Linked DNA regions of Oreochromis niloticus. The protein of the gene in region 3 interacts with the protein of the main gene of each other region in a biochemical or structural test. Links are inferred from orthologs where the notes say so. Each region holds a gene or a part of one and is shown on either strand. Other genes may lie near its edges.

Region 1 (7,954 bases), on a different chromosome or scaffold from region 3:
TACAAAATAAATATCAATTGACTTAAAGACTGTCCTTACACAAATACTACACTTCTTCCTGTTGAACTAGCTTGTATAGGAGAACTTACACTTTGTGACACTGGACTGACCAGAAGAAGGGGGAAAAAATTATTTAAAAAAAAAAACAACAAAAAACGCTACATTTGTACCATTCTTCAATGCTGAGTTAGGAAGATGACGAGGGAAGAAACACTATTAAGAAACTGTAAGAAGCCAAGATTTTTGTTTTAAATGTAGCAATAAGGGACCGTATCAACAACCCCCCCCCCCAAAAAAAATAAAACTAAAATAAAAATAACAGAACAGCATTTTGGAAACATTTATCAAACATTGCAATTCAAGTCAAATCAAAATTCACACCGTTTTACATAAAGGATTTCTTTTTAAATCATAATGTCTTATGTGCTACATATGGAGAGAAATAATATATGTTTATATATTTATATATATATATAATTTTATTTACACACAGGTAGTAAAAAAAAAAAAAGAAAAAAAAAAAAGGAGCAAAGTAAATTAAACCTAATTGCACACTGCTACATCGACTGCTTTTAGAGGCAGTAACTTTTAATTAAGTGCCAAAAAAAATTTAGTGTTTCTATTCAGTGCTTCAACAGCGTCCTCCCCAATCTTCAGGAAGGTTGATATGTTTCTGATGCTGTGTAGATCCTCTTCCAAAAAACAAAAAAAACAAACAAAAAAAAAAAACAAAAAAAAACAAAAACAAAAAAACAAAAACCCCAAAAAACCCAAAACAAAAAAACCCCCCACAAAACAAAACACTAAACTAAAACGACAACAACAACAAAAAAAAAAATTACAAAAAAACCCCTAAAACAAACAAACAAACCAGCCAACACTGAGGTTTCTCCATGTTAAACAAGGAGGGGGGGGGCATTCATCTTCAGTTCTGTGGGACAAAACAGATGAAAGGAGAAAGAAAAAACAGAAGCATAAGAGGTTGCAATGATGACACTAATGTGGGCATTATGCAACAATTTCTGCAAACAAATAAATGAATAAATAAAATAAATAACTTAGTGTGGTCTAAGGGGTAAACCTCAGAGCAGCAGGAGACCTGAATGAACTAATCAGTTTTGTACATGTATTAATACATAAATACATAAAGACCCACCTGAGGAAAAAAACACAAAAAAAAAAAACACTGGTATAGTTTTACATTAGCACCCCTCATTAATCATGAAAAGATCTGAAAGTGCCTATGAGACAGCCTCGTTTGGGGGTATTTTTTGATTTCTACAATTTAAAAAAATGGAAATAAATAAAATGCATTAAAAAGACGTGACCACCCCCCAGCTTTGACAGTTAACATCGTGCCATAACAATGCTGATTTCATGCCTATTGGACGTCGCCCTGGCCAATACACACACACTTGCTTTCAGACCTGCACGACTCTTCTGCACACTCTCCACCGGCAGGGACAGATGTGTGTTGTAACGTTAGTGTGCAACGCGTGTGCAGCACTGCACACAGAGACCAGCCCCTTCCCGTCCCTGCTCTGAGTTGCTGACGTGTTACACTACTACACTGTTGTTCAGCACTTGTTGTTTACAAGTTTCGACGGAAACTCAACGGACTCACCGTGTCAGACAGCGGTTAAATGTTAAAGATCTTTAAAATGTACAGGCATTTTTTTTTGTTTGTTTGTTTTGCCTTCCACTGTTTCACCTCGATCGCAGTGTATCGACAGAGCTCTCTCTGCCCGAGTGGAAAATTAAAAACCAAAAAAAACCGAAGAACCCCTTTTACTCCCTTATGCTTCTGTCCCCGCTGATTAATGAATGAGACAGACTGACAGCACATTTGAAGGGCGTGCACAAAAGGTATGCAGACTGTCAAAGCTGTGCATCATCCAAATCTTATTTAAGTGAACTGAAGGGGTGTTTAAGCTGAATTAGAATGCCTCCTAATGGTTTATAAGCGGTATCAAATTTTTATTAAATGAATAAACGGATGTTTTTGCAGATTTACTCGTTTTCCAAAGGTACCCCCCAGCTGGGAGATGGAGCGGCCAGTAAACCGCCTACTGTAGTTACACTATGCACAGGCCTTTTTTTTTTTTTCTTTTAAAGAAATCTTTGCTTTTCCTTAATGGAAAAAAAAAAAAGATGAAAAAAAAGGGGAAACTATTGCATAAACAGTCTTTACCTTTTCTCACGTTTTCCTCTTGGGACTGGTCTTTCTGGGCGTGTGCTCTGCAGAGTGACTCCGACTTGGACAACTAACATCTGAGCTGCTGTGTGACCTCTTGCTCGGAACAGGGGAGTCTGCAAAAAGCAAAAAAAAAAAAAAAAAAAATTTTCGTCATTTCTTAAAAAAAAAAATAAAAAAAATATTGGTACAGTGTTGCAGGCAAACCCCACTCTTTAACAGTGCTTTTTTGGGGCCATGATTTTCAAAAATCTATTTTCGGTGCAGATCAATACGCGATCAGCTGCGTTGCTCAGAAACAACTGATGTAAACGGGTTAAACTGGAGCGTATGTAGTACCGTGACACGCGTGTCTTTTCCTCAGCGCTGTACACTGTTCCGTGCACTCCATTTGCCCGTCAGCCCTGTCGGGATCTTCGCTCGGAGGCACCACAACACAACTGTGATTCCCGTTAAGATCCACATTGTTATTCCCAGTGGAGCAGACGCCTTTCTTCGTAAGCGGCTGCCGAGTGTAGAAGCCCGGCAGGTCTCTGCAATCCACTAGTTTCCACTCGAACCTGGAGTTGGCCCTCGGCGTGTCAGTGGCGAAGTCGAAGCCCCACTGGTCGGAGGCGCGCTCTTCCAACTCCCGCAAATGTCCCTTTAAATCCCTCTTTAACTCTTCGTGATCCACCGAGCCGAAGAGGCTCCTGCAGGCTGAGGGTTTCGGGTGTTCAGACTGCCGTGAGTCCGTCCGCTCCAGCGTCGGGCTCCCGTTTGAAAGTCGAACATCTGACATTTTGCTCCAGCGAAACACGCAATTTTTTAAAACAGCCCGGAGCGTCCAGTTTTTCACGAGGAGGAAAAAAACAAACAAACAAAAAAGCAGCACACACACGCGCACACACACACAACACTCAAAAACAACGGTTATCTCCTCTTCGCTGAGAAAGCTCCAAAACAAGCGTAAAACGCGTTATGCCATGCATACGTCGGAACGAAGACGCGAACAGCCGCCGTGTTGTGAAGCCCTGCGTAGTCTCATCAAAACAAAGTGCTCAGGAACTGAAGGCGCTCTGTCAATTTTGTCCCGTAGCGAGAGAAACTGCAGACAACCCTTCTCTTTCGCCCAATATGGCGAAAGGTTGATGTGGGGGTAGGGGCATGATTGACATACTGAGCTATTTAAATTCCCAAAGAGGTCGCTCATTGGTCAGAGTTTTTAAGCCCGCCTACTTTTCTTAAGGTGGACCGGCTAAATTAAGCCGCTCTGATTTCTCTTTTTCCCTTAAAACAAAAAATATCAGCGTGTGAGTGTCATGTATATATGTAACTCTGTAATTAACGTATAATAAATAACTGTGAGTGGGGGAAAAAGGATGTACAAAAAAAAGGTAATTGATAATAAATGTTGTCATGGCTGTGTCAAATAAGATAAATTGTAATCTTTGAAATAAAAAATAGCATAACAAATCACTCCTAACAGGTGCAGAACAATTAAATTAAAACAAAACAAACAAAGCAAAAAAGAAAAAAAAAAAACTGTGCCAATCTGGCTAATGTGTATCTTTATGACATGCCATTTCCACCAATTATCTGCACCTCAGTGGGGAAGGTCAAGGTCAGCACACATCAGACTCTGTCCACACTGCCACCAGAACCCAGAGCAAAAAAAACAACACAAAAAACACACTGCTAAAAAACCACACAGTATCAGAACTCAGCAAATTTAGAATTAAAAAAAAGAAGAAGCCAAAAGTACTCAATGCTAAAGTTTTTTTCCCCGACACCTCAGGAAAAACTTAGCAGGTTTACACAAATCCCTAGCACCATCCAAATCCCATTAGAAATTACCAATAAAAAAAGAAAAATATGGAAAATTTTAATTTTATGTTTTTAACCCTAATCTGGAAAAAAGTAGGCAGGGTGTGCAAAAGTGCAAAGCAGTGATTTCTAAATTTACACCGACTCTCATATTGAGGACACTAGATTAAATGTTTTGGTCATTACCTGCAAGGAGGAGGGATCTGTTAGAAAAAAAACAGTAATCTGCTAAAAATGAGCAGATGTGTTGCTTTCAACACAAGTCAGGTCAACAATAATGTACAAATCCCTGCTTTGAATTTAATTTGAAAATAATGTCCAAACTTTTTTTCTTATTTAAGGCTCTATTTAAAAAGGTGATCTTCAAGCAAAAGTACTGTTTGTTTTTAAATTTATCAAGCTTCTTTTTCCAGCTTCTTTTTCTTTATCGTCCAAGTTTTACACTTTTCCACTGAAGGGGAAAAAAAAAAGAAAAACCCCTAAAAAAACCCCAAACAAAAGAGTGATGTCAAAAAAGATGCTCGCCTCAGGTTCTGATCAAGATGAAACAAATTGGATTTGCTTAAAATAGAAGCAAGCAACCTGCAAGAAATGATGCAATTTAATTTTACTGTGAGCAATTATTTACTTAAGAGGTCACAGCAGGCTATGTGCTGCAGCTGTGGCTGCTGGCTGGCCACCATTAATTCTGGGGCAATGGTGCCCCCTAGTGGTCATCACACCGACTCTCAATATCCATACAAAGTAAGCAGGAAGCAATCGTGATATCAAACGCTTTTAATAGGATGGTTTTAAATAAACATTTAATCTGTACATACACATATTTATATCCAAAAAAGGGAAAAATGATCCTTCCTGACTCTGCTGAGGTGTAGTCGCCTACCTTCCCAGTTAGTCCATTACAATATAGTGGTCCCCTGCTTGATAAGGCACCGTCAGAGGCTAAGCCACTTGATAATGTAGAAGTTCTTCTTGCCCACTCTGAGCAGCGTGAGTCCATTAGCCAGGATGTGGAGTTTGGGGATCAGTACCTGCTCCGGGTTGTCTGTACGCGTGTGGTTGATCCACACTGCTCCATCTGAAACCATTTGATACCTGCACACAAACATTTACACCGTCAGTTAGGACAGGGTTTCATCTTTAAAAAGATGATCTAAAAGTCACGTGAAATGGTAAATGGCCTGTATTTGTATAGCGCTTTACTTAGTCCCTATGGACCCCAAAGCGCTTTACACTACATTCAGTCATCCACCCATTCACACACACATTCACACACTGGTGATGGCAAGCTACGTTGTAGCCACAGCTGCCCTGGGGCGCACTGACAGAGGCGAGGCTGCCGGACACTGGCGCCACCGGGCCCTCTGACCACCACCAGTAGGCAACGGGTGAAGTGTCTTGCCCAAGGACACAACGACCGAGACTGTCGGAGCCGGGGCTCGAACCGGCAACCTTCTGATCACAAGACGAACTGCCAAATCTTGAGCCACTATTGCCCAAGTACAAAAAGAAAGTACACTCTGTATTCTTCCATAGGAATTTAGAGAGTGAGGAGGATCCAGGTGTTGCTAATCACATGGACTTAACTGATCATTTACAAGTGTGAGCACCTATATAAAAGTTTTGGCAGTTTACTGGTCTGAGGCATTCAGGCACATGTTAACATAGTGCCAAGAAGGAAAGACAGCAGTGGCCTTAACAAATCAACACTGGAAAAGGTCATAAGGTCATTTCCAAATAATTTCAACTCCATCTCTGTACAATGAGAATGATTATTCACAACTCGGAAACATTCAAGGGAGCTATCCATCCTCAGACAAGTGTACATCCCAGCAAATTCAGCCCAAGGTCAGACTATGCAATGTTCAGAGAAACTCCAAAAAACCCAAGAGATACATCACAGACAGTAGAGGCCTTTGTTAGCATTTTTAAATGCGGAAGTTCATGATGGTACAATTAGAAAAGAGTTAACAAGTCTTATTTGGAAGGGTTACCAGAAAAAAGCCTCCTCTCTCCAGAAAAAAACAAGCAAACTGTCCTTTGAATAAACAAGACCAATGTGGATATACTTGACCTTCACATTTGGAGTCAACCAAATACAGCATATCACAAACACCTCATACTAACTGTCAAGCACGGCGGTGGAGGGCTGATGATTTGGGTTCGTTTTGCAGCTTTGCACGGCTTGGGTAGTAGCCAGAAGAAGGAAACAAACTTTTCAACAACATTTTTGAAAACACGTTAATCTGATCATGACATTTTTATGCTGGTAAGCTATAATTATGACACATTTAACTGTTTACATGTTGCAGGGCTGTTGCTACATTATGCACCTTAGATGTGGCATTTATCTTGGCTGTAACTACATGACAGCAGAGCTAGAATCAAAGAAAACGCTTTTGTTTTCTACAAAACAGCTTTTTGAAATGTGGCAGCGTGAATGTGACTGGTTGCTATCGTTGCACTAAAGGCACACATCAAACTGTTACATGGTCACGGGCTGTAGGGGCAGCTGCAACCCGGCTAACACAAAGAAAACCTTTATGCTTATTTTTTTCAGGAAACCAGCTTATGAAATTTGACTGCGTGATCGTGACTGGGTGTTATTGTTACACCTCGTACACAAAGAAGTTGTTGTGGCGACCTGTGAGCGGTACCAGTGGAGAACAGAGACCACAAACTCCTGCACCTGCTGCAAAAAACACTACTCTTCAGCACTTGTGTTCTACAGGATAGAAATAAAATAGATGTGACAGTCAACTCAAAAAGGTTCAGATGTTTTTCATTGAAGATTATAGTTTCATTTACTAAAAAATAATTTGGTTAACAAAATTCAGCGGGCTGCATGCTGAATTTAGAGGATAGAAACAAAGAATCGATCTTATCTTGCTACTCTCGTTCTGATACAAATACCAACTTTGGTATCGGTGGTATCGACAGTTGGATCAATCCCCCCACCTCTACTACCCAGAATGTGTAACTGCATTACACACCATACACAGCAGATTACACTGTGGATCTCTGGGTGCATGTATGCTCACACTAACATCAAATCACTACATACCGCATTTAAATAAAGGAGAACTGGGGTGCTTACCCTCTGGGTCCCTCAGGGATGGCGCCGACCTTGCGGCAGGCATCTATAACAGTTGTCCCCGGCTCCAACAGCAGCTCATGGAAAGGTGCCTCCCTGAAGAGTTCCTGAAGCTCCTCATCACTCATTTCCTCCAAGGCTTGCACGCTGCTGTGATAAAGTGCATTGGTGCATCTGCAACGACAACATTAGATATGACCATTCTTTCCACATAGAAGACAGAGAACATGGGCAGCCACAGCGAGCAAAGACTACAGCAATGAGCACTGAATAGTTAAGGGTTTGGAATCTTCCTCAACAGCTCTTACTGTACTTTCTACAACTTTCAACTTTTTGGCAGAGCATAATCCTGCTATTCTAAACACTTTGACTCTAATAGGTTACAGCTGAAAGAGCTCCAGATGAATAAAATATGTATACGGATTCAAAAAAATAAAATATATAATTTAGAGTAATAAACACACAGACGATCAATTCTTACCTCTTTGCACTCTCCAGGCCCTCCTTTCCATGCACCAGTTTTGTCACTTCAGCAGCCAGTCTTTTGTGGGCGAGGCGTTTACTTGGATCTTCTCTCTGCTGCTCCATCAGTTTCTCTACCTCTGCCAAAGGCAGAAAGGTGAACAACTTCAGATACCTACAAAAAAAAAAAAAAAAACGGCCCACATAGTACACCTCAGACTGTGCACAGAATAGTTACTTTTGGACAAAAACAGGGTTGCAATGAGATGTTTCTGGATATTGCACTTTCATTAAAACTCAACAAACGTGATCAGCCTTCACTTCCACATACCCTTCCACACTGGCATCAGGCTGCCTGAGAAAGAACTGGTAGAGTTCAAAGGGTGACGTCTTGTCTC
Region 2 (8,124 bases), on a different chromosome or scaffold from region 3:
GATTCGCAGTTCTGACTTTTCTTCATCTTATACTGGACCCTGGCGCAGGTCCTCAAATTCCCTTCTCTAAAACAAGCTGTTTTGCGTGCTCTGCCTTTAAGCTAACATTCTTCTGATTGGTTGCCCCTTACAAACAGAAGGTTTAAAGAGCAGATGGCCGGGACTTATTTGCTGACACCCAGAGCTGTTTGTCTGCGATGTCATCAGTAATATCTGCTCTCACTGACATCACAGGAAGCCAAAAATTGTTTTGTCGCATGCAAAGCAGTCTGAAGTCTGAGTATTTGGCTCATTGAGATTCCTTACACGTATACTGATGTCATGATTTGAAACTGAAGCTCGTGTTTACCATTGTAAAGAAAAAACACATTAAAGCCACTTTTTTTCCAATTAAAATACAGTGAACTTAATACTTTGCCACTTATGTTTTCTGCTTAGTTTTTCTTAGTCAGCTGGGCCTTTAACTGCTGAATGTAACAACCTGAATATTATGCTTCATTCCACTTTGAGTACTAAATTACTGCTGTTAGTGCACTTTTTTAAGATACTGATTCATGTCATCATCCATCACCAAGGAACACTCAACTAATGACCCAAATAGGAACATTTAAAACTTAAGGTATTCAAAAGCAGATAAACATTTGGGTGCCATATTTTATGACAGTGCTTGCAACACTTCTGCATTCAATAACACAGGAGGTTAAAATAAAAATCTAGAAATCTCACATTTAAGCTTCAGTACATCTGCAAATGTAATTTCCTCAGTGATGTAACCACCTGTAAACCAGCGTGCAGTTAATTTTTCTGACATAAAATGACTTAAATTACAAGAGAAAGAAAATTAAAAATAATAAATAATTGTACCACTGTGTCAACAAAAACGTGACAAGAGTCACATTTATTAGCTCGACAGACAGTGAGTTGGATACATTCCACCACCCAACACTGCCCTTTGTTCCATAAACACTCACAGCACGTCGGCACCCTCATACAGCAGGAATTCTTCAAATTATCTCAAAAACTAAAAGTATGCATGTTCAAGCTGACGAACACAATGACTGTGTGACAAAAGTAGGAGCCAGAGTTCATGTGCACATTCTTATTGTCAATTCAGTTCATTTAAAATGACCCTGAGCAATAATCTGTGTAAACATTTCTACATTCGCTCCAAACTCAGAAAATGGAGAAAAAAAAAAAAGTCTGTGCCTCCTCTTCCACATCCTCGCTCAATATGTACACAGGAGAAAATCTGTTTTATAGGCATGCTGGTGTTCTTGTTTACATACTTTTCGTTTCTGTGCATATACACGACACCAATAGTTCTCTGAAATCATTAAATATTTGAAGCATTGCTTTATGTTTTTAACTTTTTTGATAATGGAGTAGGACAGAGACTGTAATAGAAATAGATTTCATATATATAGTTATATACTGTATTGAGGGAGTGCATTCAGATTCTCCAGCAGTAGATATGTGGGGTGACAGCTTTTCTGCATATAGTGCGGGGCAATCGACGTGCTAAGGGAAAGACAGCGAGCAGCAGAGGTCATTTTGAGCTAAGCTCTGGATCAGTCTGGACCACTCGGCCCTCTTCTGGGTGATGTAGGCTGGGGTGATCATTTGCACAGGAAGGCGTGGCGAGCCCTCCACCCGGGCCTTCTCGCACAAGGCCTCGGCAATACAGATAACATACATGCCACAGTCATAGCTGTTCTGCTGGGATGGGCAGGGCTCCTCGACGAACAGCGCTTTCCGCCCTGCGCCCAGGAAAGGCTCCAACTTGCTGGCGATGCGCCGTGCGTGAAGTGAATTGCTGCCATTTTGAGAGTCATAGTGGGCAAAGTGGTTGGAGTTGTGATGATAAAGCAAGAGGCTCCAGTGGGACCCTCCAGCGGTCTGGTTCGAGTTGTCGTTCACGGCTAGGAAGACCCAGCGACGAGAAGCAAGATCCAGTGGCTCCAGAAACAATGCCAACTCATCAGGGCAGGAAGCACACTTGATGAACTGGGTGACCTCTGGGCTGATAAAGATGACGGCTTCCCCCAGGGCTCTAAAGCGCTCGGCAGCAAAGTACTCAAAGGCAAAACCAATGACTTGGTCATTAAGCCAGTAAGGTCCTTCCAGTAGAGAGACATCAGAGCGCCGCAACAGGCTGTCATGATAGCTCAGCACTACAGGATCCATCCTCCAGAGCAGTCAGAGTGTGTCAGTCTGAAAATACAGAGAAACGATTTAATGCTTAGGGCTCGGCTAATTCATTCATCAGAAATTTACTCCTTGTGTTTTCTTTAATATGAGAACTGCTTTTCTTTGTCTCGTACTGCTGGTTTCTACAATAGGTTCAATCAGCACATACCACCTTAAGGATGCTGTGATGTCACAGGCAATATTATTTAGCAGCTGTTGATCAACTACTCAGCAGAGCAGTAATTTCACAGAATAAATTCAATTCCGTTTTATTTATACAGCACCAAATCACAACTACTGCACCTCAAGCAGCCTCATATTGTAAGGTAAAGACCCAACAATCAGACGACCACCCTTTGAGCAAGCACTGGGCGACAGTGGGAAGGAAAAACTAAATTTTAACAGGAAGAAAGCTCCAGCAGAAACAGGTTTAGGGAGGGGGAGCAATCTGCCGAATTTAAAGGAGTCATTTGGGTTTCTTAGAGAATGCAAAAGGCTTCATTCCGATGCCAGTTGGCCAGAACAGCCTGGCACTGGTTTCAAACATGAAGCTTTTTTTTTTTTTTTTTTCCACAGATCTCATCCTGAACTAGTGATTCAAACGCAGTCACAGTCTGTGTTCATTTAAGCAACTCGCACAAACTGTTAAACTTCACTGAAGCTAACGCAGGCTGCCTGTTTCTGGGATCCTTGTTGACTTTCTGTTCGCTACTTTGCTTTATTACTCACTCAGACACATTAACTGGAGCCGTCTTAGCGCATTGGCCGATCAGGTTATTTTCAGAGATGTTACAGTAGCGCTTTGCTGGGCCGGGAATCCACTGCGGAGCATCACATTACTGCAATGCGTTTACTTCAGCAGGCAGCTCTCCGCTCAAGCGAGCCTGCGTTTTTAGCTTGAGCTCGCTAACCGACAGTTTTTAGCGTCACTCGAAGCCAAAAAACTGAGTTAAACAGCAGCCTGAGCATGCGCCACATCAACCGTGGGCTGCCAAACTGAAATACACAGTGTCCGTTTAGTGTCCTACCTGTAAATGACACATTCAAATTAAAAGTACCACGAAAACACGAGCGGTGATGCCCCTCATTGCAATGACTATCGTAAACCACGGCGAGAAGACCGTAACATTTTGCGACAGTGGGGTGGAGATAAGCTTGCTTGTGATTGGCTCCTTGCATTCGGGTATGGGCGCGTGAGCGTTACTGAAAAACTGACATTCTGTGTCGTTACATGCAAGCACTGGAGAAGTGTCTTTCTTTGCATTTTACAGCGAATAAGGCGAGAACCACGCATTTTAAAATCAAGTGGATTTCCGTCATTTTATGTTTTTTTTTTAAAAACTCTAACATGACCCCAAAAGTTTATAATCCATTATCGGAAACCGAGAGGTGCAGTGTGGTCACTGTTGCCCTGTGTGTTTCAGGGTACTTCCGGTTGCTTCGCTCCGCCCCTCCCCCTCCGTGTTTTCTCCCCTCCCATCAGCGGCGTGAACGCGCAATGCTGAGCCGCACTGATTAGCAAGACGGAGAGGAGTTTTCAGCGACCGAGCAGCGAAGAACTGCCGTTTAATTGGATTCATACTGCGAACATGCTCGGATAAAAAAGAAAAAGAAAAAATGCGTAGGTTTTCAACACGGACTTGACTTTCGAGGACTTTGCTCGGAGGCAAGTGAGGCGAGTGAGAAGAAAGCAAATTAATTCAGTGGGAATGCAGGGAATTAAATAGAGACTGTGATTTTTTGCGTGCCTACAAGTGTGTGTGGCTCCACGGTCAAGCCTGACAAGAGACGGGAAAACTCAAGTGCCACTTTAAATTGACTTTACAGCTCACGTCTGGAGGTAAGAGTGATGTTTAGTAGTAGTTATCTACTGTGGTGCGTCGGGCTGCCCCGCTGTGGGACGATAGGCGTCTGGCTGGAAGCTGCCAGTGAACCTATGATTCAGTTGTAGTCCGTAAGAAACTTCTTATGACCTGCACTCATTTGCAGCATCGTTTTCAGTTGGCAGACTTAAGGTGTGTGTGTGTGTGTGTGTTTTGGGGGGCTCAGTCGGTGCTTTTGTTCATTGAGGAATCTCTGTCAGAGCTGTGTGTGATGTGAGCCTGTAAAAAGTTCTGGCTGCTCCTCACTCAGATGTCATTTCACACTACAGAGAGTGCTTACTCCACAGCTACAGCTGGCTGAAGGACAGTTTATAAGAATAACAACCACATGTAACATGATAAATGCAGGCTGGATTTATTTTATTCTTTCATTTTATTTGTGATAGTGCACAATACAAATTACAAAGGGCTCATTTTTATCTGCAAACCATTGACAGGGGGCGTTTTTTTTTATCCATTACAAGCTCAAACAAGGTTTGCAAAAAGCATAGGGGAACACCAATGCATGCAAAGATTGAGACAGCAAAAATAAGGATATACGTACATGAAACCGTACACAATATGTCACTGCGACATAAATCAGGTGTTATGTATTCACGGTCCTGCAGAAATGGGAGCTATTACTGCGGCAGGGCGGGGTAAGTGTTTACATGTATTATTTAGTGGAGGTCAGACAGAGCAGCTTATAATGCACTGAAGGCAATATGCACTGCAAAGCAGCTGTAATTGTACAGGGAGGTCTAATGGGGTGAAGAAGCTGCTGAATCATGGGCATTGTGTCTCTCTGTGTGTGTACGTGTGTTTGTGGATGGAGAGCTGACTTTAGACAGATTTTACATGGGATGGTTGTGTATCTTGAATGCACCTGAGTGGGTTTTTATCGATTTTATAGTATAGTTACTATAGTTTACCTTAACAGACTATAGCCTAATTTTTATGCAAGTTAGTGTTGAGTTGATCTGCTGTGCTTACTGATTACCTTAAGTAATTTTTTATACCTTTTTATAAATGGACAGATGTCACCAGAAGATCATCCAATTTGTGCAAAAGTCCATAGACTGTCAGCATGCTCCTGACTTTTATTTCTATGATCATTTTCAAATATTCATTTTGGTGTTAGATGATTATTGTTTTAAAAAAAAATGAAGGAAGGAAGGAAGGAAAATGACTTAAATTAATGTTGCGGTGGGTGAGGTGCCCCTGAGAGCTTGTCCTGCCCTCAGATCAGCACAGGTGATGAGGGTAAAGTGGGCCTGTCCTGCAGGAATGTGAGGTCTGAGAAGACACAGCTGCTGCAGCATGAGAAGAAGCCCGGGCTGAGACTCCAGCAACTGGTCCCTGTTGACATCTGACACCCCACAGACCCCTCTGTCTGCTATTTCTAAAGGACCGGCCTCAGTTTTGTATCACATCGGTGTGCAGTGAACGGTCTCGCAGACGCCACCTGAAAGATTGAAGCTGTGATTTAGCAGCTTAGGGCTCAGATTTGAGCTCCTCAGAGGAGCTAACCACTGCTGTTGTTGGAGGCAGTCTGTGGTTTACTAGGAATACTTTAAAGAAATGTTTTTAAGTTTTTGAAGGTTCGAGTTACCAAATCGCAAACCTTCATATGCAAAGTAGTGTTGCTCCATACTAAGTTTTAGCTGTTCTTTTGATCGCTACAGTCTGGGACTTAGTCAGTGCTGACTGTCATTCTCCAATAAGAAGAGCCAGTGTGTGGCCTTCCTTTGGCCCTCCTCCTTGTGTCTAACTTGAACTCAGTGCCTTTGAAATTGAAACTTTGGAAAATGAAACTGAACAGTTTTAGCCTCTCTGAGGATTTTCCAGTTCACAGTAGTTGCGCATCTCAAAGAGTGATGGCAGAAGCTGCATAGGAAGGGAAGTGACTGTTTTATATGTATAATTTAAAGCTTTTTTGGGGGGGGCAAATTAAATATTTTGAAAAAATAATACAGTAACTCATTATTTGGTTTTCAAGATGTCATTGGGGTCTACGTAACACTAAGATCGAATCTTTACTTACACTTGCCCGTTTCGTTTGAAAGACCTCCTCATAACACATTTTATTTTTGCCATGCACAGATCTTAATAACCTGCAACAACAAAGTTGCTCCTGTTAAACACCCACAGACTGTAACTGTGATGTGCTTAAAACAATGAATTACCACTAGCTCATAGATGCTGTTTTGTTCTCTTGAGAGTAGAACTAACAGCCCATTTGTCTTGTGACTACTTCTTTGCTCATCCACCAGAGCTCCTGTGATCTCCCATGGGCACCGTTCGTCTAAACTCTAGCATAACCTTCCAGTTATCATCCCCTGAGGTGTTACCTGCTGGACTGAATTACCTGCTGCTATCAGTCACATGCTGCCTGCTTAAAACTTTGGCCTATCCTGAAAAGTGGCGTGGCTGCGTTTTGAGATTGTGTGGCGCAAGTGATTGGCATGCACATGAAGTCATTAAAGAGGAACCTGCTTGTGTTGCACTGAACAAAGCTCTCCTTTCTTTAGTACGCCATTATTTGAGGGTGGCTTTGGCCTCACAGGCTCAGCTTCCCCACGTTTTGCATTTCCCCTCATTAATTCGCTGGTGCTAACAGTAGTTGGAGTGAGATGGAGAGAGAAGAAAGTGCATTGTGTTGCTCTTTGCAATTTTGTTTATGTGAAAAAAGCCTAACTTGTTCTTTAATTAATCCTTCACAATGGGGAAACAGAGTGAACAAACAGCACTGGTCTTGCTGGAAGCTCACTTTGTATCCTTTTAAATTAAATTAAATCCTCTGTGTCTTTGTTTTGGACAGAGAAGAAAGTGTTCAAAACCTTTGTGGTTTCTTTTATTTTAATTAAATGAATAGGTGTGTGAACGGGGATTCTCACTTGCATCCTAATTTATTTTTTGAATTTTTAAGGCTTAGACGGATTGTGGAAATTGTAATTAGAGCACAAAAACAAAACCCCCCCCAAAAAACACAGAGTTTAAGCCCCATAGAAACACTAATTTCAGAATTCTACTTTTGTCAAAGTACAGCTGTGTATCTGCAAAAACTGTGCATGATGACAGAAGACTATAAGCAAGAAACTAAAGTTGTGGATTTGTGGGTGTGTGTTGTGACACAGCTGTGACAATAGCTACTGGCCCCCTGCAGCCTCATGGTACAGACTGGACAGAGCCCGTGGTTAATCCCCAGGCATGTGCTGTTGTGTAATGTTACACAATTCTGTCCACCTACAGAGTGCTCCTACCTCGAAACCACTTAAAACTTTGAACTGACTGAGTTTATCGTTTTCTTAAAGCCTTGAATATTGTTATAGCAGAAGAAGACAACATTACAATAGATTTGGATATTTAACCAGCGCCAAATATAATATTAAAACCTTAGAGAAATATGATTTATGAATTGTTATTGCTGGTTTGCAGGACAGTCCAGAGGACAGGAAGAAATGAAGTTTAAAGTTCTGTCTTTGCACTACACTGCCGTTGTTATCTGTGAGAAATCCTGGCAGTTTACGGTAGTCTGTTCACTGTCAGAATGAGGCAGAAGGGGAGGAAGAGCGGAGATAGCCGTGGGTAACAGACAGCAAACAGGCTGCGATAAGGTGGATTTCGAATGCAGTCCGAGACATGCTCACTAATAGCTGGCATTCTTCTGCTGTCTAATCTTTACTGTAGTTATCAGCGCAGTAAATGAGAAGATGATGTAGGCTACTGTGAGATTATGCTTAAGTGTATCTGTTAGCTATGAAACTCTTAAGTGTTGCCTCTTGTTTCACACTCGCTGGCACACAGCGATGGTTGTAATTCTGAAATCTTTGATTATTTTTACATGACAACTGCAACCAAAAACTCAGATTTATGAAAAAAAAGGTGGGGGGGCACATGCACAGGTAAACGATGTGCTTGTCATGCGTTGCTTTGTTGCTGTTAATGGACATCCTAGGTACCGGTTGTCTATTTACGACCCAGTCATATGTCAGTCAGCTGTATCGTAAAGATAACTAGTTGTGCTTGAGTTGCTCCGTTTGAAGTTCAGAAACTTGAAACACGTCCTCTTTGC
Region 3 (8,049 bases):
CCATCTACAAAACAACTTATTAGTAGATTTTTTTGACTAATATAAATAACAATAATAACTAATTAGTTACTAAAGCTTTTAAGATAAATGTAGTTTAGCACCTTGTGCACCTTTTACACTCGCCCTTGTATGCTGCTAGAAATAAAGAGGCGAGGCTTCACGTTGCTTAAAATAGAGCCCAGTTTATTATTTTTTAAGGAATCTGTGTCGAGCTCCACGGAGCTGATGAAAAGGACAGGAAGTCAGATGCAGAATCAGCAGAGAGAATGAGCTCAATTTTCAAAATAAAAGACCCCAAGCAGACCAAGTTCTTCTGAAACACTTGGAATATGATTACAAAGCTGGAACAAAACAGCATCAGTCATGGCACCAAAGACACACCTGGTGTGTTTTTGGGGTAAAACTCCAGCAAGGTTTACAAGAATCTGCCAAATTTACAGATGGAAGCCAAACAAGACGTCTGTCTGTTTACAGGCAGATTTCATTTCATCTTCCTTTCTAATCCCACAGCTTTGTCACTGTAAAACAAACAGCAGTGGATGGGAACAGCTGAGGAAGAAAAACACTTTTCTTCATGTTCATGCTTGCTGATCAGGTAACACCTGCTGTAAAGGTTTAGATTGTGATCAGTTTCAAGTCAAACCTTGTTCTTTAATGTACGTCTGCGTTAACTTAACCCTTCTGAAACCCCGGTTTACAGTTCATGCAGATCTACATTCAGTCACAAATGTGAAACAAACTCTTCGCCTTTTCGCTGTATTTTTCACGACTCTAATAAACGTTTCCTCATTTCAGTACCTCAAACACTTCATTTAATGGTAAAACCGGTTGATACCAGCATGAAAAGCAAATCAAGCAAAGGTTTGATTCACAGGTGAACTCAACTGCAAGGAGCCGGCCAATCAGTGTGCTCGACGTACTTTTTAAACTCAGGCCATCAAGTTCTGTTGAACCTGCACGTGCTGAACAAAAGTGTAGAAACAAGATGACGTGAACCATCAGACACGCATTTCAGCTTTCAGCTTTTACATTTGAGCAAAAGGGCCAGTAAAAACAGCAGGACAGTAACAGGTTCAACAAAGGTGTAAATATAACTGCTCTTTGGCATCTTTGTGTGTTTAGACTCTGAAGACGGTAAAACAGATGATGGTGAATACCTTTAATGTCTTTGGCCCACTATAATAAAAGCCTTTTGTCACCTGTTGGCCTTATAATCAGTTTTCTTTTTTAATAACAAATAGGTGACGCCTCACTTATGAGGACAAAAGTGTACATGAAAATCCAATAATTAACACTGTCCTTCAAAATAAAAGCCCTGATAAAGAAAACTAGCAGGCGTTAAACCCTGAGGAGAAACTTCTCTCTTTAAAACTCATCTGAACTGCAGCATTTTAAAACACTGTGGGAGAATCAGCTTTAAAATCAATATAAGGACAAACTCAAAGAAGGAGAAAGCACAGGTAATAAGGTGACTCTGATTACACAATTTTGAGCTGATTATTTCACAATTACATACTGCCGAAGATGCAGATTTATGCAACAAAGTTTAAAACTTGGACTTTACCATAATTTGAGTCTATTTCGACACCTAAAAACACATATTTAAACACTTCATGCCATTGTGGGGGGAAAAAAGTGCCCTACAGCGCTTCATTTAAACAGCAATGCCCTCACTTCTTTATGTTTTTCTCCCTGAGGAGCAAAACTTTCTGCTGGAATATTTCTCCAGCTTTCTGAAGGTCTGTCAAAGTTTTTCTTTGGACTTTAGCTGCTTTTTCACTCTGTTTCAGGCCAGTTTCAGAGGGAAAAAACTATCACTTTTTCTGATTTGTTTAGCTGAATATATTTAATAAAAATGCAGAAGACATTTCTTGCACTATTAGCCAAAGTCTTGGCATTTCTTGACATGTTGTACAGTGAGCCCTCAAAGAAAGAAAGAAAAATGTATCAATCCGAATTTAAAATTTCTGTTTGTCAATATGTACTGAGGTGAGGAGAGCAGCACACCAGTGAGTGTCTACAGCCACTGGGGGCCCTATCATGCTTCATCCAGTGGTGTATCAATGGTCAGAATTATAAACAGTGATGTTTAGATTATGAGTCACCATACAATACCATGGTTACTCATGAGAGCAATGAGCCCACACACACACTGTCCGTGTAGCAAAGACATATATGAATAGAAAACAGACAACTGACGACTGTCAGTTATGGATTCACCTCCACAGAGCCCCACAGCACTGAAGCACTGTGGGATCATGTTGACGGACCAGAACAAAAGACAAACATCCAAAGAAAAGCTTTGAATGTCTGAAGCCTGGAGGACTTTTTAAAGAGTGCTCAGATAACATGGCTCAAACTCCTTAGACTTGTAAAAACTCGGATTTTGCTTTATTTATATTTTAATTTTTTATAAATCGCTGCACATATTTCCCATTACTCCAGAAAAACACAAAGGAGTGAGGTGTAACTCAACTCAAGACTTTTGCTCTATATTGTCCTGTATACTGACAAATACTAGGACTCCATAAAAGGGAAGAAATAATAAGTGAACTAAAGTAAAGAGTTAGAATCCTGTGCAATAGTCATTGACTCTTAATATCTCGTTTTAACGATCAGGGTCTAAAATAAGTGCACTATTTAAATTAAGGAGAACTGTAAGGACGTATATCCAGGAATCTCGATTAGTATGAAAACAGACGTTTTCCAACAGCTGCTTCCCTCTGGCAGCTCAGTGTCAGCAGTACCTCTGACTTCGAGCTTCTCCTAATATCTTAGGAAATGAGCGACCGTATCGCTGCTCCGCTTCACCAGTTGTTCCAGGAGTGTGTCCTGTTCGAATGACCAGACCGCACCGCACCACACGGTTCACAGGGATGTGCTCGAAAAAAGCCTACCCCCGACGGATACTTGGACATATTTGGAATATAATGATCCCCAGTATCTGTTAATTTGGAAAATATTCACTGTGATTATTCCCCGGAATGGAGTCAGGCGCTGCTACGCAATACTGCTAGCTCCCATTAGCCTCTGAGGCTCGATTAGCCTGGTAGCTCCGTCTGCTGCCCGAACGCTGGATGGACCAGCTTCAAATCAAAGCACAGCCTCTATGTGACCCACATTTATCAATCGCTTACACACATGTGTGGTACTGGGACTGTATTCAACATAAAGGCTGTCTTCTTACAGTCAAAGGCAGAGGCCAGGACAGACTAACAGCCTGGTGTAAAATGGCAGCCTAGCTCCTCGAGCTTCTCAATAATGAGTCAGGAAAACAGTTCGCTAACCGCCTAGCATTAGCGTGCTGGCTCTCCGCTTAACAGGCTGAGAGAAAAAAAAATCTTCCCCGGCCCAGCTCTAAAATGTCACCTTACCATTTTAAAGCAGTCCCAGTCACTTTGTAATCGCCGGATGAGTTGTTTTCAGGCCAAAAATCGGTGTCCCGCTGCCGTCTCTGAGTGTGTTTGCTGTCGGTGGCTAACTACGACTGCTGCGCTGCTTCGTTCGCACAAAGATCAGCTCACAGCGCCGCGGCCACTGACTGCAGTTGCCTTCAGGCTCCCTCGGAAATACGCACAGCACCGCCGACACACGCATGCACTCTTTATTATTAAAGAATAGGAGGGCTACAAAATACGGACGTTTGTTTCTGCCACTGAAAAAAAAACATACCAGACAGAGGTGAGACAAAATTTAAACCAACTGCCTCAAAGTTGAACTTTTAAAATAATGACTTACATTTTTGACTTAACTCTGCCTGGCATTTTTTTCTGTAACTGAAAAAATACTTCATAAATAACATTGTGAAAATAATATTGGAAGTTTTTTCTTTCTTTCAAGTTTTCCATTCGGAGAAACAAGTCCAGAATATTCCAAAATGAAGTGAAAATACTATTCCAGATGAAATACTAATAATACAGTCTAAATAAAATCCAAATACTGACAGTAAAGTTGAAATGCTTATGATTTACCCCCTGATTATTTGGATAGATGTGTATCAGTGGTTTTGTATGCAATACTAGTTAAATTGTGAAATACTTCTCTGTATCTGCAGTTACAACATCTGGAGTTCCACAAGGATCTATGTTGGGGGACTGTTTTGTTGTTGTTGTTGTTGTTTTTGCTTTTAACATTCATCCTTCCTGTCAGTAAGCCTGGTGAACTCAGACCCAGGACCCTCTTGCTGCAAGGCAACGCTGCTAACTACTTTTAACCAATTTTAAATTTGACAAACAAATAGGTGCTGAGGTTGAGAACACTTTGTTCTAACGCTAACATTCCCCAAACATGTGGGGAAAACATGCCTGTTACAGGCTGAACACCTGTTTTGTCAAACATTTACCACCTGCTGATCTCTGAAACTGTCGCTCATGGACAGTTTGTTGTTGTGTGTTTTTTAATGCAAGTAGTGTGACTATGTGTTACAGGTGGGGGGATCGATCCAGATATTGATAGTATCAATACCATACTGGTACTGGTATTGGATCCATACTTTGTTTCTGTCCTGTAAGGTCAGCATGTAGCGCACTGAATTGTGTTCATTTGTGTTAAATAAATCAGTATTGGTATCAGCAATACTGGCCCTGTATTTATTTGGTATCATATCAATACCAAAATTTGCAGCATATCCCAGCACTACCATGTGTAGACAGAACCTGAGAAACATTCTGTTTTTCTCTCTCTAATATAAAGTGCATTAATTTAAATTTATTATGTAAATAATATTAACTTACTTACTAAGAATAAACTCAAGCTATAATTATGAGACTCAGATTTGCAAAAGAACAAACAAAGAATAAAACCTAAACTATTCACCAGGCCGGTGTATTTCAGGCGCTAATGGAGATATCTTTAGCTTACTTTGTAAAACCCATAACAATAAAAACACAGAACAGAGGTCAATCGCAGGTCAGGTCTTTTTCAACAATATCAGAGATTACAAATCGTTTATGAAAGACCCTTTGTTGATTTTATTTAATACTCTTGTTAATTTATTAATTTAATTCATTCATAAAGCTACACAAAAATTACACAAAATTACATAACTGAATATGCATTGTTTAAATTTAATGAAAAACCCAATTTCCATGTTTTGAGAACCAAAACTTGTGCTCAGACTTTGTGTTTACAGTCTATTAATGGTACTTATTGTAAATAACTGTGTTTAATGTAAAGAAACAACTGATTTTAGTTTGTGCTGAACTTCAGTAGAGCTAAGCCTGTAGTTATGATCATTAACAGTTAGAGCCCCTCCTCATCATTTTCTTCCTCTTCTTTGGTGCAACCCTATAAATACAGTGTACCCCTTTGGCCTCTCCCCTTTCCTACGATTCCCCTGTGGGAGAAGTTGGTGTCCTTTCTTTTCCAACACTGTACAACACACATATACAGTATATTTAGCCACCCTGATGTTTCTGATTATGTTTTTAGTTCAATTATTGTCATCACAGCTGTGGTGGGTTGAGCTAACCCTCTTCCCAGGAGCTGGAGCGGGCAAGTTAATGACTTTGAGGTCTTTGTTTCTTTTTACCTTTCATTGTCAGACACAACATAACATACCTTCACACCGTGTACATTGTAACATACCTGTAATAGATCCATATTTGGTAATATATCTATATTATTGCCAAAGCACTTTCTGGATGGATGCAAACTGCATTTCGTTGCCTGGTACTGGTAACATGTGCAATGACAATAAAGTTGAATTCTAATTCTAACAACGCAGGAACACACCGGTCACATATACATGTGATTTTACAGTATGTTTTGGGGTTTTTAAAACCTTTTTTGCATGCATGTTTGATTTATATTACTGTTCCCACAGCTTGGTTAAGCTTAACATTGAGTCTTTTTTCAAATTAAACATTAATCTGTGCTCTACAGCAGAAAACAGGGTAAAGACAGCAGAACTGCGAGTGCTACATGTACGATACTTTATTTGCAGTTTTTGGAAATGCGCTTGTTCAGCATGTGGCTCAAATATAACAAAGATCCAAACCCTAAATGACTTTAATTTAAATGATTTCAAACATGCATGTGTAGGCTTATCATTCAAATCTGATAAAAAACAGTTTGAAACACTGGTGTTTTTATCCAAAAATCAAATTTTCAAAGATTTTATTGATTTAAAGTTAATATTCTTTGTCTTGTCTTTATATAATAGTTTTTACTTTAATTACATTCCTTATATTTTGTCATTAAAATAACCAGAAATTAGAATTTTTTAATACTGGAAAAACAAACACAAAGAAACAAAAACATTCTAACACTGAAATGTCTGAGCTTCCCTGGATCCCCTGAATGCTACACCTGCTCCACAAAGTGGCCTCCCTATAAGGACTACAATCATGGCCTCACAGCTGCTTCCCTACAGCTGTCACGCATGCGCAAAGGTGGGTTTTAGTTGCCATATGACACATTTCAATTATGCATGCGTGATACAGAAGCACGATGCTGACATTTAGCTTCCTGGCCTTTAATGTGTGTATGTGAAGGTTATGCAAAGAATTCAAATGGCTCCTTTGACTTGCATTTGACTCATTCTAATGAAACATTACAAAAATAACCACAGTCCTCAGGTTCACTGTGTCTGTGCTTCTCACTGTGCTGTGATCGTTCTACATGAAGGTGTTTTGCTACAGGAATCTGAATGCTCTCCAGTCACCTTTCCTCTTTGTGCAGTGTGATGGTCAATCATCACCGTCTACCCACCCTGTGCACCGCCACAGCCTCTGAAACAGGCAGAACACGACCTCTGCTGGCATGGGAGGAAACACAAGCTTGGATTCTAGCAAGGAAGCATCCTCATCAAAGTCAAAGGGAAGGTGAATCCTCCCCGACGATCTCCGCTGCTGCTCCTGCTTCACTTTATCAGTAAATCCTGAGACCCAGGAGGTAAATTAAAGCTTCAGGTGTCACTGATTCTTTACATGTGTGCATAGATGTATAAAGTTTTACAAAATCTAAAGAAACAATCTCCCTCTCACCTCCAGGTGGTGTTGTGTGTGTCTTCTCCAAGCTTGTATCAACTACCACCTGACAATTTGAGCTTTTCATGTTTCCATAGCAGCCGGATGTTGGAGATTTCTAGTGCAGCTGGGCTGCAGGTAACTGTAACTGTTAGTTTATAAAAGATTTAAAATATTCTAAATAGAAATAATCACTGGCCAGATTCAGCAACCAGGGGCTCCAGCCCAGACCGCTGCCTGATCCACAAAGCACCAAACCCCTACGACCCCTCCTGTGGGTGGAAATCAGAAATCCGGACATGCCTCAAACACCTCGTAGGTGAGGCATTCCCGGTCTTACCTCTGAAACGTCATTGAAGGCAGTTTCAGAGTCGTGGAATAACACCGGAAAACTTTGCGATCTTCATCTTGAAGATGAGTTTTTCCAAATGTCAAAGAGCACGAGCGCTGCTTTCCACACTGAGCTGTGATGCCTCAGACAGAAACCAACTGCTTTAACATTTATTGTAAATATTAAGTGAACATTTTTATTGTTATTGCGTCACAACTTATGACTGACTCTCCTCTCTGCTGCGGGTGGCCACAGCCCGTTTATGTCAGTCCTGCTCTGCTGTCTTTGAATTATGTAAGAATGGAGAGTGGCGTGATGTGTTCACAGGCCACACCTCACAGTCGGTCAGAAGTGAAACGACTTTCATAATTAAGAAGTGTTACGTGAAGTCTGTTTGTTGCAGCAAACATTTTTATTTCCGGTGTTTGCAGCTTGAACACACGGACTCAGTCTGTTGGACACAGCTGCAGATTTAATGAAAACTACAAATAAAATAAAAACAAAGGTAAAGAAAATACAACAGAATCCTGCATAGAAAAGTGAATCTAACCAAACACATTCAACAGGTGAAAGACTGGAGTACCTGTGAGCAGTGAACCACCTGTGTTAGCACAAAACTGTTTATATTTATCACATTCAGGCCAGAGATGGCTGCATAGTTTGAGCTGCACATATAAGATTCCCTGAGCTCCATGTTACTGACGTGATGGCTGAAACCTCGGAGGAAGATGTTTGAGTCATCGACCTGTT

The links.
Region 1: the proteins of cullin-1 (region 3) and cdkn1bb form a complex in vitro, tested with the Homo sapiens proteins (2 studies listed by BioGRID, with this or other methods). The link is inferred for Oreochromis niloticus from reciprocal best matches to the Homo sapiens genes CUL1 and CDKN1B.
Region 2: of the proteins of cullin-1 (region 3) and senp8, one has a biochemical effect on the other in vitro, tested with the Homo sapiens proteins (2 studies listed by BioGRID). The link is inferred for Oreochromis niloticus from reciprocal best matches to the Homo sapiens genes CUL1 and SENP8.

The regions. Positions count from the first base shown.
Region 1 is NC_031972.2:46,454,672-46,462,625, reverse strand, and holds the start of cdkn1bb (cyclin dependent kinase inhibitor 1Bb), read right to left. Parts: upstream 3,372-7,954; 5' UTR 2,976-3,371; coding exon 2,534-2,975; intron 2,311-2,533; coding exon 2,198-2,310; 3' UTR 2,192-2,197; intron 932-2,191; 3' UTR 1-931. Other genes in the region: yars2 (tyrosine--tRNA ligase, mitochondrial), read right to left, coding at 4,936-5,095, 7,098-7,268, 7,576-7,731, 7,888-7,954. UniProt on the Homo sapiens protein: Important regulator of cell cycle progression. Inhibits the kinase activity of CDK2 bound to cyclin A, but has little inhibitory activity on CDK2 bound to SPDYA. Involved in G1 arrest. Potent inhibitor of cyclin E- and cyclin A-CDK2 complexes.
Region 2 is NC_031965.2:11,166,393-11,174,516, reverse strand, and holds senp8 (sentrin-specific protease 8), read right to left. Parts: upstream 3,371-8,124; 5' UTR 3,216-3,370; intron 3,210-3,215; exon of another isoform or gene 2,917-3,209; intron 2,212-2,916; 5' UTR 2,185-2,211; coding exon 1,519-2,184; 3' UTR 872-1,518; downstream 1-871. UniProt on the Homo sapiens protein: Protease that catalyzes two essential functions in the NEDD8 pathway: processing of full-length NEDD8 to its mature form and deconjugation of NEDD8 from targeted proteins such as cullins or p53.
Region 3 is NC_031974.2:2,230,926-2,238,974, reverse strand, and holds the start of cullin-1, read right to left. Parts: upstream 3,562-8,049; 5' UTR 3,375-3,561; intron 1-3,374. UniProt on the Homo sapiens protein: Core component of multiple cullin-RING-based SCF (SKP1-CUL1-F-box protein) E3 ubiquitin-protein ligase complexes, which mediate the ubiquitination of proteins involved in cell cycle progression, signal transduction and transcription.